2 linked regions of the Lonchura striata genome follow. The protein of the gene in region 1 purifies or fractionates together with the protein of each later gene. This does not show direct contact. Links are inferred from orthologs where the notes say so. Each region holds a gene or a part of one and is shown on either strand. Other genes may lie near its edges.

Region 1 (7,272 bases):
CAATTCTACCTGGGAAAAAAGAAACAAAAACCAAACAAACCAGAACAAGGCTGAACTGAATTCTGACAGTAGCTGAAGAAAGCTACCTGAACTTGAACATAACCTCCATCAAAAGAAATCTCTAAGCTTGGCAAGGGAGTTGTGGGCCTCACCAGCTGTTTTAATAAAAAACTATAAGCAAATAACATTTTGTTCTATTGACAAGCAAATTTCATCCTCTGAACAAGTCATCCATGGAACAATTTATCTGTAACTATAGGCACACAGACATCAAGCTATTATTTTCCATAAATCTGCAACAGCATGGCTTGTTTGTATATCCACAAGTTAGCAATTCTTGTCCAAGTCATTAATCATTTGAATATAACACTTAAAACAAAAATAAGTTTGAGAAAATATTCTTGCAAATCAGGAAGATGTTCCCCACACAGCGGGCACACTAAGCAAAAGCTACAAGTGCCACCTCGCACACCTCTGGAGCTGAAGGAAAACAGAAGGAAAGGGGAGAGCAGCTTTCACAATCTTGGACACATTTGTCCTGAACCCAGATTTATCAGTCTTAATCTGTGTTTCTTACTGTAGACAAGCAAAAGATAATGCCTTGCAGGACAGGCTTGCTCCTGCAATCCGCAGGCACGAATCAGCGGTGCACATCGTGTGAGCAGCCACAGCTCGCCCTGCAGGTACCCCATCGACAGGCAAAGCAGCACCAACTGCAAGGAAAAACATCCTGAAAGGGCAACACAAGTCCCAGACAACATGCCAGTATTGGCACGACCATCCCTCTGTCATGCTCAGCAAGGTCAGCACTCAGAGCATCCTCATTCTGCAGCAAAGACCAGCAACCATGTGTAATTTATCAGAATGCCTTTCCTTTATGATCTCCTTTACCTTTGTGCTACATTCTCAAGTGGCTGGGCTCAAAGGCACAGCACGCAGTTCTTTCAAAGCAAGCTCTCCTGAGAGGTTGGTTTAGTTTTGGTTTGTGGTTGGGGTTTTTTGGGAGAAGTTTACCAGCACCCTGTATCTTGGGCACACAGCTGCCATAGGGGACCATCCTCTGGGCAATTTAGCTGTGCAGTCCAAAAGGGCCAACACGCACCCAAAGAGCAGTAACAACAGTGATCTGCTCTGGGAGAGCCATTCCACCTCTGTGTCACCATCCACGAGCAGGTTCGGAGCCTTTCTCCTAGTGTCTCATCAGATACATCTATCACTCTGACATATCCATCTTTTCATGTTTACTTGAGTTGAAACACAGTTCTTTCTTTGTTAAATGATCTCAAAAGCAGTGACATCCAGCACCACAACTACCACAGCAGAAGACTCAAATCCAACACTGAGCCTCTTAAGGCACAGTGGATCCCCACTGTATTTTCAGTGCTGTGAAATAATCTTAAGCATGAGAAGAGATGCTTAAACTGAATCCTCAGTTCCATAAAGGAAAACAGTTACATGGATGATGGACATTTGATTTTCTCCTCAGCTAATGCTAGTTTTCAGAGAAAAGATTTTCCATTTCTAATGAAAAAAGTCACCAAATACAGCTCATAATTTCACACAGTAACCCCACATCTGCCAAGCAGCAACTGTAAGAACACTTCCAATGGCAAATCAAGATTATGTTTCTGACATCCAAGCAACCAGGGATCACAAGAAGAAGGAATCCTTCAGAATAACAAGCTTTCCTAGGGGAGGCATGGCCCTGTACCCACACCCACAATGGACACAGAATGCCTCCTGCACGAGAAGTCAACTATGGAGATAAAGCAACAGCAGTTTGTCAGCAACCACTTCTCAGCTCACAATCCAAGCTGACAAATCCTATACTCACTTGCAGTGCTACAGTAACAGAGCCACATTACATTCAGAAATTTGGTATAGATTGTTACAACTTCCCCTATTTCCCAACTGTTCCAAAATACCTTGGGCATCTTTACACTGCTTTCTGCAGGAAAGTAGATCATTTGCACAACGAACTGAAGAACATACAGAGGGCTTCAGAGTTGCCAAACCAGTACGGAAGGCCACAGTAACAATGTCTACGCGACTGACCAAGACTTTCTGCTTGAAATTAAACAATAATGTCATATCATCTCATTCTCTCCTGTGATAGTCCTTTTATGCAGTGGTACCTGGAACCAAGCTCAAGAGCCAGGCTCACCCAGCTACCCAAGGGATTTAAAAGATTTGTTGTGGAGATGTTCCTGGGCACCCACACTGCAACTGCAATGACCTCTGAGAAGAAGGGAGGCAGAAGCCGGAGAACCCAGTGAGCTCAACTCAGGTGACAAATGAGAGCAGCTCAGAAAAGACCTACTCGAGGTATCCAGCTCTGCAGAATAAAAGGTGCTCACAACAACTTCTGCAATATCACTCCGTGTGCAAACAGAGTAGCCCAGGTTACGACTGAGGAAAGGGGAAGCACAGAAAGGCGAGGTCTGCAGAGCTGGGGCAGCCCTCATAGCCAGGTTACCACGGCTGTACTAATTTGCAGGAGAGCAGAGGGGCCCGCTGACCCGAGGATGGGGAGCTAAGAGAGCTTCGGCAGCACGACCGAGGCCGCCGCAGCATCACCCTGGCCATGCCGAAGCCCACGTACCTCTGGAGGCCCCTGCACAGGGATCGATCCATGAGGTGAGACAGGAAGCGGCGGCCGGCATCGAGCGACGCGGGGCCTGGGGGCGCTTTTCCCCGGCCTCCCCGCGCCGCCCGGGGCGAGGCGGAAGAGCCGCCAAGGTGACGGCGAACAAAAGCCGCCCCCCCGCGCTCCGAGCCGGCAGCGAAGGGCAAAGCGGGACCCGGGGCGCTGCCCCCAGCCCCGCTCAGCGCCGCCCCGCCGCTGCCCTCAGCGGCCGCTGAGCAGCCGCCGCCCCGCACACAAACAGAGCCCGCGCCGGGGCCTACCCCGCCCCCCGCCCCGCTCACCTAAGGGACAAAAGTCTCGGTGCGCGGGGCCGGGGCGCGTTCTCGCCCAGGCCGCCGGGAGCTGCGCGGAGCCGGGCGCGGCGGGCGTGTCCCTCGGGCGGCGCGTCCCGCGGCGCGGGCAGCACAGGGCGAGCGGGGCGCGGCGGCGGCGGTGTCACAGCCGGGCGGGGGAGGGCGGGCGGCCGCGGCTCCCGTGCGTGCCTGCGTGCGCGCGCGCCTGCGCACGCCCGGGGGACGGGCGGGGCGGCCCCCGGCGCTCTCCGCCAATCAGCAGCGGGCGGCGCGATGACGTCAGGCGGGAGCCAGGCGCGTTTAGCCCGGCCGGGAGGGAGGGGAGGGCCGATGGTTCCGAGCGGCGGCGGCCGGAGCGGCGGGCAGGGCCTTAGCTCCGGCCCTTACCGTGGCCCCAAGGCGCCGGTGGCTGTCGTGGAGCGTGGCCGGGAGAGCTCGGTTCCTCCTGGTGCTGCCTGCCGGAGCAGTGTCGCTTGGACGGAGCTCCAGCCTGCGGAACCGCGGGGCGGTCAGTGTGGGGATACAGCAGGGGTTTGCGGAGAGCTGTGCCCCCATACATTGCGCCGTTAGAGGTTTGCAGCTTCTCGTTGAAACAGAAACATTTTCGATTTATGCTGAAATAAAAAACTATCTGTGACTGCAGGTTGAATGTCAGGTAGCTCCTTTAGAATTTGCCCTTGGAGTATATTACGTTTCCAGGAGGCCAGTTTGGGTGCGTCAGACACATCTTTTGGAAGCAGCTCACTTTGTTTGCTGGGGTTGTCTATGTGAGGGTGGAAATACTGAAATAAATTTTGGCTTGTGGAAGAATCTGGTGTTGGTTGTTTGATGTTTTTCTGCCAAGGACCAGAATCTCATTACACCAACTTGGACGTGTCAGGTGAGTTCTGCTGTGCATCTGCACTGACCCAGAATGGGCCTTGAATCATCACTGTGGGGAAGAGAGGGAACTTTTCCTAACATTTGAATCTCTCAACATCTTTGGTTTGGTAGGAATTTTTTCTTTTCTCTGGCTTGTTTTGCAGCTGGTGGGGGATGAGGGGTAAGAGGATCTGGACCTTTACAAGCTAGGGCTGTTGTGAGTGAGCTCTGGCTGGGTTTTGTAGCATTGACGTGCTGCTGGGCAGGCATGGGAGGAGGAGAAGCAGTCAGGAATGCATAGCCCGGGTATGCATGACTGTGCTCAGCAAGGCTGCAGCACAGCTGGGGCTGTGTGGTGACTGCAGGCTGGAGTTGCCTTCCTCTGCATCAGGAAAGTGCCGACATGCCTATGGTTGCTATAACCACCTCATCATTTGGTGACCAAACTTCACTGAAGGGTTCTTTGTTGCCCAACAAGGTGAAAACCCTCTGGGCCATGTGCTGGGTGGTTCATTTCATTCTATACTTGATAAGGAAAATAAAATCCTCAAAGCTTTTGATTTAGACTGTCACGTGAGAGGGGTCTCCCTGGAAGGAAGTGAAGTCGTTTTTGGAAGTGATGGCATTGGCCCTTTCTGTGCTGTGGTTGCAATTAAAATTACTTTGATTGGATATGCAGAAAGCTAAACACTGTCAAACCCTGTCAGAAACCATCAGGAAGGCAGCATTAGGCTGGAAGCTGATATGTGGGTGCAGTGCATGAAGGATTTGATGCTCCTCAGCAGGAATCTCAAATATTTTGCAGTAGCACCCAATGGGGGCATTCAGCATCTGGAAGTAATTTAAGAACTTCGTGGTGCTCTTGGACTTGAACCACCAGCCTTATCTAGGTAAGCTTCTGGTTCTCACGGAGGTGACTCAGTTTCAAAAGTGTTTGGACGTTTTCTACTTATAGATCACGGTAGCTATCACCTCGCTGTTTTTCCTTAGCAGTGAACGCGATGTCTTGCATGCCAAGCCTGTGCGTTTGCCTAGCGGTGGTTGAGGATGCACAGACGCCGAGACGCGGGAGGGGAACCGTGCTCGAGTCGTGCGCTTTTTTACTTCCCAGACAGGTGAACGCCCTCTGCCGCTGCGGATCCGCTGCTCACTGCGAGCGAGCTTTTGCTCGGGAGGCGGGCACCGGGCGAGCCTTTGCTGGGGAGGCAGGCACCGGCCGAGCCTTTGCTGGGGAGGCAGGCACCGGGCGAGCCTTTGCTGGGGAGGCAGGCGCCGGGAGGAGCGGCGGCGCTCCCGGGCCGAGCGGCGCCGGCCCCGCCCGCGGCCGCGGCCGCGCCACGTGGCAGCGCAGGCGCGGCGGCCGCTTCCGCGGGGCGGCGGCAGCGCCGGCCGGGCCGAGCCGCCATGAACTTCTTGCGGGGCGTCATGGGCGGCCCCAGCGCCGGCCCGCAGCCCTCGGGAGCCGACACGGTGAGCGGGGGACGCGGCCGGGCCGGGGCAGGGCCGGCGCGCCGCGACAGCCCCGGCCGGGGCCGCCCTGCCGCCGCTGCCCGTGCCAGGCCCGGGTGGTGCCCGGTGCCGCTCGGGGCTGCCGGCTCGGCGGGCAGGGAGCGGCTCTCCCGTGCGGTTCCCGTGTGCCGGGAGTGTCCCCTGCCGCCGCGCCGGCTTATCCCGTGCGTTGTACGTGCCCTTCCAGATCCAGAAGCTGTGTGACCGCGTAGCTTCGTCCACGTTGCTGGATGACCGGAGGGATGCTGTCCGTGCTCTCAAGTCGTTATCCAAGGTACGTGGCCAACTTCCTGAATAGCGGCGTACTGTCAGGTGCTGTGAACCAGTCTTTCTGTGGTGTTTGGCCTCGACCGTGAACTTTTTTGTGTGTCGTCCAAACAGAAATACCGGTTGGAGGTCGGCATACAAGCCATGGAACACCTCATCCACGTTCTCCAGACGGACCGGTAAGCATCCTGCAGCTGCTCTGGGCTGCTGGGCTGACACAGCAGATGCAGACCTGGTGCACTGTGCGGACAAAGCCGGGAGGGCAGCTGCGTTTCTGACAGCTCCTCTGCCACCTTGGCTTTTTCTGCTGGTAAATGTCGTGAGAGGCTATTTGGAGGTAAAAAGAAAGAATTCCAGGAACCGGGATGAGGGACAGAAAGACAAACTCTGGAGTGGAGGTACTACCAAAGTATGTCTTAATGCTTATCGGGGTTATCTTTCCACTACTGTAGAGAGGTGAGTCCAAACAGATCATGTTAACTAAACACACTGTTTGGAATAACCCAGACCAAGCTGTTACTGGGCAAAAGGTGAGCTAGACAGAATTAGGAGAAAAAGAATGAAGTCAGCAGGGGTGTGTTTTTGCTTGTGCGTGTTAAAAACAAGTTGGGTTCAGGCAAACAGGAGAGCCGGGCTCCGAGGCTGCTGCTGAGGCAGATGGCATGAGTCTGGGTGCTCTGTGTGGACTAGAATGTAATATTTATGCAATCCAGTGCTTGGAATGTCTTTGTTATCCATCCTTGCAATCACTGCTGTACCTGACAGTGCCCACATGTTGTACAATGGAGCCTGTTTGCAGTCCTTGCATTTCAGCTTCAAATACTGCACATACTTGGTATTTAGGTAGGCAACCGTAAGGGGATAGTCATTCAGTCTGGACTTGAATCTCAAGCTGGTCACTTTGTGAGAATGTCATGAGCCTGTGGAATACCTGGATGGGCATAGACTGGAAGGAGGAGCGTGTCCTTTGATGCTGGTACTGAGAATTGGGAAAGCTGCAGTTCAGTGTCTACCAGGAGGCCTCCTGCCCCAGTTATGGATACAGGACTGGAAACTGCTGATTGAGGCCTTTCTTGCCTGGCCAGTTATGCCAGCTGGGAAAAAGGTCTAGGCAAGTGCATGTTATTCCTATTCTGTGGGCTGGGTAGTTAAAATTGAATGTCTGACCTGGTGCAAACAGTGAGAGGGAAGGTTATAGGAGTAACTGTCACAGATGTGAAGGGGAAGCCCTTAAAAAAAACTAGGTTAAGGAGCCTACTTTCATCCACTTATCTGCTCTGAGGGCAGATTTGAACTTTGAGAAGGGAGGCGGGGCCCTACTGATCCAGTTGAGTAGGCAACCTGAACCCTTTAGGGCAGGAACTTAAGGCTTTGCAGTGTTTTTTGAGCTCCAGTTGATCCTTTGGAAATTGTGGATGCTGCGGTTCTGCACACATCTTGTGTGACTCAGGCTGTAGTGGAAAGAAAATAATAAATACGTGGGGTCTTTTGGGGGTTTTCAGCTGAAGAAAACATGTTGCTCTGACAAGATGTTGCTCAAGTCATTTGCTGTTTCTTGTTTGGTGGGCCAGCACATGAGCTTGGGCCAAGTGTTGGTTGCTGTGGCTCCTTGGAGAAAGAGTTGTAGTGTCTGTGTGTGATCAGTGCAGTTGTTACAGGCTGGAGTTTGCGTTACTGTTCGGTGTCAGTAATGGT
Region 2 (8,047 bases), on another chromosome or scaffold:
TCTAAGTATGTATTTGTGTTCATTCTATGACACAAAGCTCTGAAAACCATCTCTACTGGCCTTCGTTAGCAGCTGCTGACAAAGAAAGGATTAACTGTCCAACTGAGCACAAGTTCCCAGTGAGATTTACTGCATTTCTCATCCACTCCTGTCTGTGTAGTTTCCAGAACAATTTTACTTTCTGGATGGTTGGGAAAATTAAAAATATATTCTTGTCCAAAGATGCAAAATACAAGGAAATCCTGATGCGTACAATGAGCTTTGTTTTAAGACACAAAGCATGTGCTGCTCTCTTTATTAAAGGACAGATTATTTACTACGGAACCCTTGGCTCCCCCACCAAGGGAGAGGCTGAAGCCCACAAATGAGTTCCTCTGCTTTAATACACCAAACACCATTTCTCTCATGACTTTTGTAGTGCTTATGAGTCCTCCTTCAGGAAGTTTCAGAACTTCAGTCCATTAAGACTTAGGAATCTTTAAACTTTAATTCATCAGTGAGAAACAACACAGAGCTTTTTTTTCTTTTTTTTTTAAGCCCCAGCTCTTGCCTGTTCTTTAAGCCCACATTGCCCAGCACAGAGTATTAAAAAAATAAATGCTTTCAATAATTTTCATGAAACATCTTCCAACAGGAAAAAAAAGGGCACTTTGTCTCGTCTACTCACTTGTAACTAAAACTTCGCTCAAATAGAATGGAATGGCTATGGCAAGTGTAAATTATTTAAAGGTAAATAAAAATACTGCTCCCAAGCACCCTCACACCAGTAACACTGCTTTATCCTCTTGATTACTCCCAAGTACAGAACAGGTCAGAATGTTCACTTGCTGATTTTGTTTTTTAAAATACATGCTTTTAACATAATAAAAATATTTTCAGAGGATTTTTGTGTATATTGGATACAACAGTTAATTTTCAAACAATTTTTTTGTATTGAAAGAACCAGAGACAGAAAGATCTGCTCTCCTTCTCAAGCTGAGGACCAGTATTGGCTGTGCAGATATTCCTGTGTATTAGCCAAGTTTAAAACAGACATCTTGTCCTGTCTACACGCTACAGACACAGAGAAAAAGCTTCTCTGATTCTAAAACTTACCTAAAATGTCCTGGCTTGCTGCTTTTTGCCATGTCATTTCTGAAAACCAAGAAAACCCCACACCCAGTTTTGAAGTGGGAAGCTACACTGTATACAGTGTATTTATGCAGTGTATTATTGACACACAGTCTATTATTTACAGGTAAAGCACAGCTTCTCTCCTTTACAACCCACCTGTACAGACTAATTTACTGGGAATACTTCCACCTTATACAATACGGAACACTATGAAAAATATCAAAAGTGACAGTTAAAAAAATGAATAGAACACTTACTGTGCTTATTCACTTCTAAGGATAATAAGAGATTTAGAGGTCTAGCACAAATACAATTTTTTTTGTAATTTTAACTTGGACTGTGGCATTTTGAGGCAAGTCTTGAGGCTATGTTCTTTTTTTGACGGACGCCTCATGCTCTGGAGATTGCAAAGCCCTGCAAAGCTCATTTAATCTGCCACCACCGAGAAGGTACAAAACACGCCAGAAGGAACCACGACAGCCTTTTTCTCTCGTGCCACAACTCGAACCGTCCAAGGACCAGGGATTGAGTAGCTGCTCTTTCTAAAAATAACCCGTGGAAGGCTGCTTCCAGCTGGGCTCAGGCTCCCAAAGAGTTGAGCTTAGGGCGATGGAAAGCGAGCGGTGACATGGGGCGGGGTGGGGTGGCCCCGGCTTTGTGCGGGCGGCACAATGAGCTCCGCCGGGGAGGCCGGGCCGCCGCCATGTTACAGCTCCGCGTCCATGTGCCCGGCACCGGGGGCACCGCAGCCTCTGCCCGCCCGCTCCGCCGGCCACGGGCACCGGGCGCGCTGCGGCCGCTGCACGGAGCGGGCATGTGGGGAGCCGAGCCCCGGGATGGCGCGGCTGGGAAAGGCCCCGCCGCGGGGAACAAAAGGCGGAAGGAGGGGGAAGGGAGCGGCGCCGCCGAGGGGGCTCCGGGCAGCGGGGGCGAAGGGGGGGTCGGCAGCCGCGACCCCGCCGGGCTCTGCTCCGCGAGCCGGGAGGAAACCGGGCTAGGTCCCGGGGCGACGGGAGGGCGGCCTGGGAGGGGGCAGGGGGACGCCGGGAGGGGAAGGGGACAGGCCGGGGGAGCGGCGCTCGCCCTTCTGGAACCTTCCAGCAGGCGGCCTCTGGGGGCCACGCCGGGAACAACCCGGGAGGGCTCGGCGGAGGGCCCGGCACAAGGGAGCGGAAGGGAAACAGGCCGGACGGGCTCGGGGGCAGGGGCGGCCGGAAGGCGGGGGACAAGGCGGGTGGGCACCCCGGGTGGGCTGGAGGATCAGAGGGGACGTGGGGATCACCTTCTTCTTCTCCAGGTTGCGCAGCTTCTTGTCGATCACCCCCAGGATCTGCTTCATGGCCTCGGTCTGCACCGTGGTGATGTTCACACCCGCCGCCGCCTGCGGGGCCGCCGCCGCCGGAGCAGCCTCGCTGCCCGGTCCCGCTTTGCCGGTGCTGCTGCCGGTGGTGCTGCTCGCCATGGTGCTGTTGGTGGCCGAGGGCATCTCTGTGAAGGAGGGAGGGCGGGAGAGAGACAAGAGAGCGGAGAGAGCGGCGGGCGCGTCACGGGGGGAGCGCGGACGGCGGGGACGCGGCCCCGCGCGCGCACGAGCCGCACCTGCCCCGGCGCGCGCGCCCCCCCCCAACCCGCCCCTCCCTAGCCGCGCGCGAGGCGGCGGTCACGTGACGGCAGCCTCGCGCCCAACGGTCATTTTCCCTTCACGCTCCCCTCCCCCCCCCGCCCCGCTCGGGGTGTCCGGAGGGGCCGCGCCGCCCCCCTCACCCTGTGCGCCACTGAGCCCGGGGGGGGATACGCTGCGCTCTCTCTCGCTCGCTAGGAATGGCCGCCTCAGCCACGCTCCAGCCCCGCCGCCCGCGCTGCTCCTGCTACCACGGCAGAGAGAGAGAGAGAGAGAGAGAGAGACGGAGGGAGGGCGAGACAGCGGCGGCGCGCACGCCGGCGCGTAGAGGCGAGGCGGCGCGGGAGCGCGCGGGGTCCTGGCCGGTCCGCGGGTGGCCGCAGAGAACGCCTGAGCCCGCGGCGGCAGCTGCTGCGCTGCCCGCGCGGGTCCTTCAGGCGCGCGGCGGGCGGCTCAGCGCCAGACACAATAGCGGCGCGTCCCTCAGCGCCTCCCGCCCGCTCCCGCCGCGCACCGGCCCCGGAACGCCTCTCGGTGCCCTGCGGCGAGCCCCCGAACCGTGCCACAGCGTCACGGCTCTCACTGAGCCCTAAGAGCCGCAGCTCACTTGCCGGGAACACTTGCTTCATCTGTGTGTCAGGCTGGGATTTGTGTTCCAGATACATCCCTGCGATCCCCACGTAGCGTGTTCAGTCACCAAAAGCTGCCACCGCTCAGTAAACCTTCTCTGCGACCAGTTTATTGTTTCAGTGTTAATAAATAAAATGCACCACCGGGGTTTCTGTGAGGAAAAGGAATTTTGGGATGAGTGCTCCAGATGCTTCGTGCGGCACAGCTGGAGAATGAAATGCCGCTGCCTTCATAAGGCCAGGAGCTAAATGGGAAAGGATTTGGTATTGAGTTGTCCTGGAATTAATGGGTGCAAGACTCTGGGAATAGAAATCCCTGAAAATCTAGCTGCACGTGGACATTGAAAATTTTGGTTATAATACGCAGTTTAAGACTGTATGTACTGTTATTTTTTAAAGTGTTGGGTATTTTTCTTTGATCTCTTTATTCGTGGATACACAGAATCAATGACATTGAAAAGAAGGAAAAAGCCCAGTCTTGAACACCTGGCCCAACCTCATGGGAGATGTCTCATGGCCCTTCCTCACCAAATCCTTGCCCTTGTTTCCATCCTGGTTCTTGCTCCCCAAGCTGATAATGCAGCAAGAAACTGTTTACTCGACAGGCAGATTTCCCCCCTCCACTCCATCTGTAAATGTTGCTCCTTACACTTCTGCTTTCCATGTATCTCTGCATTTTCTGGAGCAGCTCAATGCTTTGTCATATTGTATTTAGATATTTGCTTTACAAATCACTTCATTTTGCATAACAGGTTATGGAACATGTAATAAAGCATGCATCCCAATTATTTCTGTTGAATAAATGAGGTATAAAAACAAAATCTTCAATTATTGAAAGTCCTTTTCACTGTTCAACAAAAGGATTTTGGTAATACCACTGCATTTTTTAAATTCCATTGTATTTATGAGATTTAATTTCTATGGATTTACTTCTCCAAGCCCCATTCATGGGGGTTGAAATGACTTTTTTTCCCCAAGCAAAATGCAGTTTTTCTGTCAACATGTGAAGTGCTTGAGGCTTTTTGACCACAAAATACAGTGGTTTAAAATAACATGGAATTGTCTCACCGATTCCTATTAATTTCTCCTTTTTCCTCACATTGCCATTGCTATTCTCCATAAGTTCTGGGCACAGTTTAGGCAAATTTTTCAGCCAAGCTCTGATAGAGTTTGTACTCAAAACCTTTCAAGGTGTTTATTCTTCACGGAGAAGTGAAACATGAGGTAGCAAACGTTCATTGTCCCAGAAATAAAGGAAGTTAAAAGGCTGCTCTTGAGAGCAGTTATTGCACGAGATTGCAGTTAATCTCAGCTCCTGAAATATTTCTTACTACTTATGTGCTCATTGCTTCAGGCAGGTCTTGCTGTGAGTTATTGATCTGCTCCTTTCCCACCATTCCTGTACAAACAGTGACCACAAATTCCTCATCCTTCTGTGCCAACAGTATTGATCACCAGCACCTGGCAGAGGAAAACCCTGCGGAATTCCCAGTAAGAGCTGAGACCTTTGCTTGGAGGAAGTGTTGCTGAGCTGTGGGTAAACTCCATCCTGGCAGCTTCCAGCGTGATGAGTTTGTAATCAGCATGTGGGTCTCAGCATTTCCATCTCTCAGAGATAATTATCCTTGCATTTTGTGTTTGGGAGCTTTGCAAAATGAAGCTCAGCTCCGGAGCTGCTGGGTTTGGAGTCACGTTTGTCCAGTCCCCAGGGAAAGGCCTGAGAGGAGAGAAGGCCCCCCAGCAGAAGAACTTCCACAAATGGGAACCTTTAGAACACAGAACTGCTCAAGATGAAGGAAGTCACATTCCCGACCCTTCCCATTTCAAATTTCTTCCCTTTTGCCCTCTTTGCTCCCCTTTGATCGGGGATTTTTGACCAAGCCAAGCCTTGCCACTATCTCTGGGGAAAATCCTACAAGGAAGTAGTACTAGTCCTCTACTCCCTTGTCCTATTGCCAAGCTGAAAAGAAAAAAGGAAAGATTACAGCTTTTTTTTTCCCCTCCAATGCCCTAAAAATTATTTCCAAACAAAAGCAATGTGGCAGGTTGTGGGAAACGGATTTGCAAAGAATTCTCAAAACCTGACAGAAAACTCACAGTCTTATATATCTGTATACAAACACTAAGATTAAGTGTGCTAATTTAAGAAAGCCATAGAATAGAGATTACATTGTTAAGAGAGAAATTAAACTAAAACTAAATTTCAACAAGTTTCAAAATGTAGCCTTACAAAAAGACTAGATATTTTAGAAAACTAGAACGGTGAAAGATGCATTGTAGCAAGACCAAAGAGGTGATTAGTGTTAGAAATAATGGCAACATTGTGTGGCAAAAACAAATAAACTGAAAAACATTTATAAAGCATTGTAACCAAGAATAGGTTAGCTTCTGACAGAATAGCCTTTTTACATCTCATCATCGAGACTGATAATGGAATAAAATCTTTTAAAATGCCTCTCAGATGCCTCATCTCTGTAAAAACTTAGAAAACCAACACTAGCTTAGCTCCTTGTGAGCCCCAAGGATGAGCTGTGTCTCCCTGCAGTTCTGCCAGGCTCTGACCATTCCTGTAGATGTGCTCCTGTCTTCCCAAACCTGGCATCCCATCCCTATATCCTTCCATCTTCTGGTTCCCCACTTGTCCAAAGCTCATCAGCTTTTCCACCCTGCTGATCTGTTCCAAATTTCCCCAAACCAGGAACTCTGGCCCACTCAGCACTCTCTCCTTAATCACCACATCTACTCCCTGGTCATACTCAGAATTATCCTGAACTATGTAATGAAAGGAACATAATTAATAGCTTCCATTTTTTTCTGTGCTGGATTGTTTGGGGTTTTTGGTTTTTGGTAGTTTTTTTTTTTTTTAATTGGATTTGTTTTAAATAGGCTCCATAAGACTAAAATGAAATTTTGTTCCTGCACATCATTACAGGTCTGTTAATCAAGCAGTTCCCTGCCTGAGCTCATGGAATGTTATGGGATTTCAGCATTGCCAGTGTTCTGTCAGGTTATAGAGATAACCACAGCCTAAATTGAAAAGCAGATCCCATTCCACCTCTGGAGCACAGAAAATGGAAAGGACCAACCTCAGTTTCCAGTTCCCGGATTTGTTATACGAGGATTAGGGTTGCTAGGTTTTGAGGGGGTCCCAGTCTGCACATTTCAAAAGTTGGGGCTCCTGCTTATCAGACTGTTTTAGAAAGGTATCGCTTTATTTTTATTTAGGTTTCCTTTTTCCACAGGAATTTGCTCAAAGGAGAGAAATTCCCGTTCTATCTAAGCCCACAGGCTGGCTAACTTTCATAATAAAATGAGACCCAGACAAAATAGACTTCTCTGAATAAGGATTGAAAGCTCAGTGTATGTTTTTTGCCTGAATAAGATTAAAATACAAAGTTTTTATCAGAAATGTTAAACATTGATATTTTGGGAGACAAGTCAATAAAAAAATTCAGAAGGTGTTTGAGTTCAAAGGAGATTAAATGAAGTCTAATGGTATGATTAGTCAAAACTGACATAATTCCAATCCAATGCAGTGAAAAATTGATTAAATGCTACTAAATGATAGATTTCCCTACACAGCCATGGATGGGAAATCCTCACAAAAGGTATTTCTGTTTCAGTTCTTCTTCCCTTCCATGAAGCAATTGTTTACTGAAGTCTCCAGCTGCAGAACCAGGCTGGGACACTCCTTTGCTCCACTTTAAACTTCATGCAAAGCAGATCAAGCCTTAGTTTATGGACAAAGCCCTGGCACAGGAAGGGAGGAGGAGGTTGGTCACACATGCCAAGGAAGCTCTGAAAAGCAGCCCAAAACTGCCCAGGGCTTTATATTTGCCTGACTTAGCTAATTTGGATGGGCCCAGCTTACCACACTCTCCAGGATGTTTATGCCTGTCCTCCCTCTAATTTACTCTTTCAGTCATCTTTTTTTTATTTGTAAATTAGATCAAGTAATTCTGTCTTTATTTCCTCACTGCTAAGGAAAATATTGTGACAAATGCTGCAGCCCCAACCAAAGCATCCTCTTAAATAACAATCTTCTATTCAATTTCTTTTTTTCAGCCGCTTTAGTGTATCACAGCCATTTAAAGAAGAATACCCTGAGGCTATATGTCAAATTTAGGCTGATCATAGTCTGATTGTCTTAGATCTTTAATTCTGGAGAGCATCTACAGAGGTCGTCATCCCAAACTTTTAATCACCTCAGAAAATATTACTTTTTTTAACTCTTTTTTTTTTTTTCCTCAAAGAGATGTGCTTTGTAACTGTGGAGTTAAAAAAAAAAGGCTCTTACTGAAAGGATATTCAGCCCAGTGCTGAAATATATCATGAAAATCAATAATTGAAAGGCAAAGATGCTGCCAAAGGCCAGGTTTTACTGTAGATGGAATGGGTAACATGGGGCTTATGATGTGCCTAATAGCAACTTTTTACCTTTATTTCTATGAATAGAATAATTTTATCTTTATTTCTATGGCTCTTTCTATGAATGGAAGAGTCCAAATAGTTCTTGACAAATGAGCAGATCCAATGCCTGCCCTCTTACCCACCCCCCTGGGAAATTTGTATCTGAACCCGTCATCTCTTCAGCTGATTTGGTCAGCACAGTCATTAGAAAAACAATGGGTTTTGCTAATTATATTCATAATTTATTCATGCTCATAAGACCTGAAAATTGCCA

Evidence for each region. The genes of interacting proteins can lie anywhere in the genome.
Region 2: the proteins of G3BP2 (region 1) and CAPRIN1 purify together in Homo sapiens (affinity purification with mass spectrometry; 5 studies listed by BioGRID and IntAct, with this or other methods). This does not show direct contact. The link is inferred for Lonchura striata from reciprocal best matches to the Homo sapiens genes G3BP2 and CAPRIN1.

Annotation. Positions count from the first base shown.
Region 1 is NC_134606.1:73,018,248-73,025,519, forward strand, and holds the start of G3BP2 (ras GTPase-activating protein-binding protein 2), read right to left. Parts: upstream 3,060-7,272; 5' UTR 2,929-3,059; intron 1-2,928. Other genes in the region: USO1 (general vesicular transport factor p115), read left to right, coding at 5,206-5,271, 5,498-5,584, 5,692-5,756.
Region 2 is NC_134608.1:54,438,335-54,446,381, forward strand, and holds the start of CAPRIN1 (caprin-1), read right to left. Parts: upstream 3,075-8,047; 5' UTR 2,878-3,074; intron 2,602-2,877; 5' UTR 2,600-2,601; coding exon 2,396-2,599; intron 1-2,395. UniProt on the Homo sapiens protein: mRNA-binding protein that acts as a regulator of mRNAs transport, translation and/or stability, and which is involved in neurogenesis, synaptic plasticity in neurons and cell proliferation and migration in multiple cell types.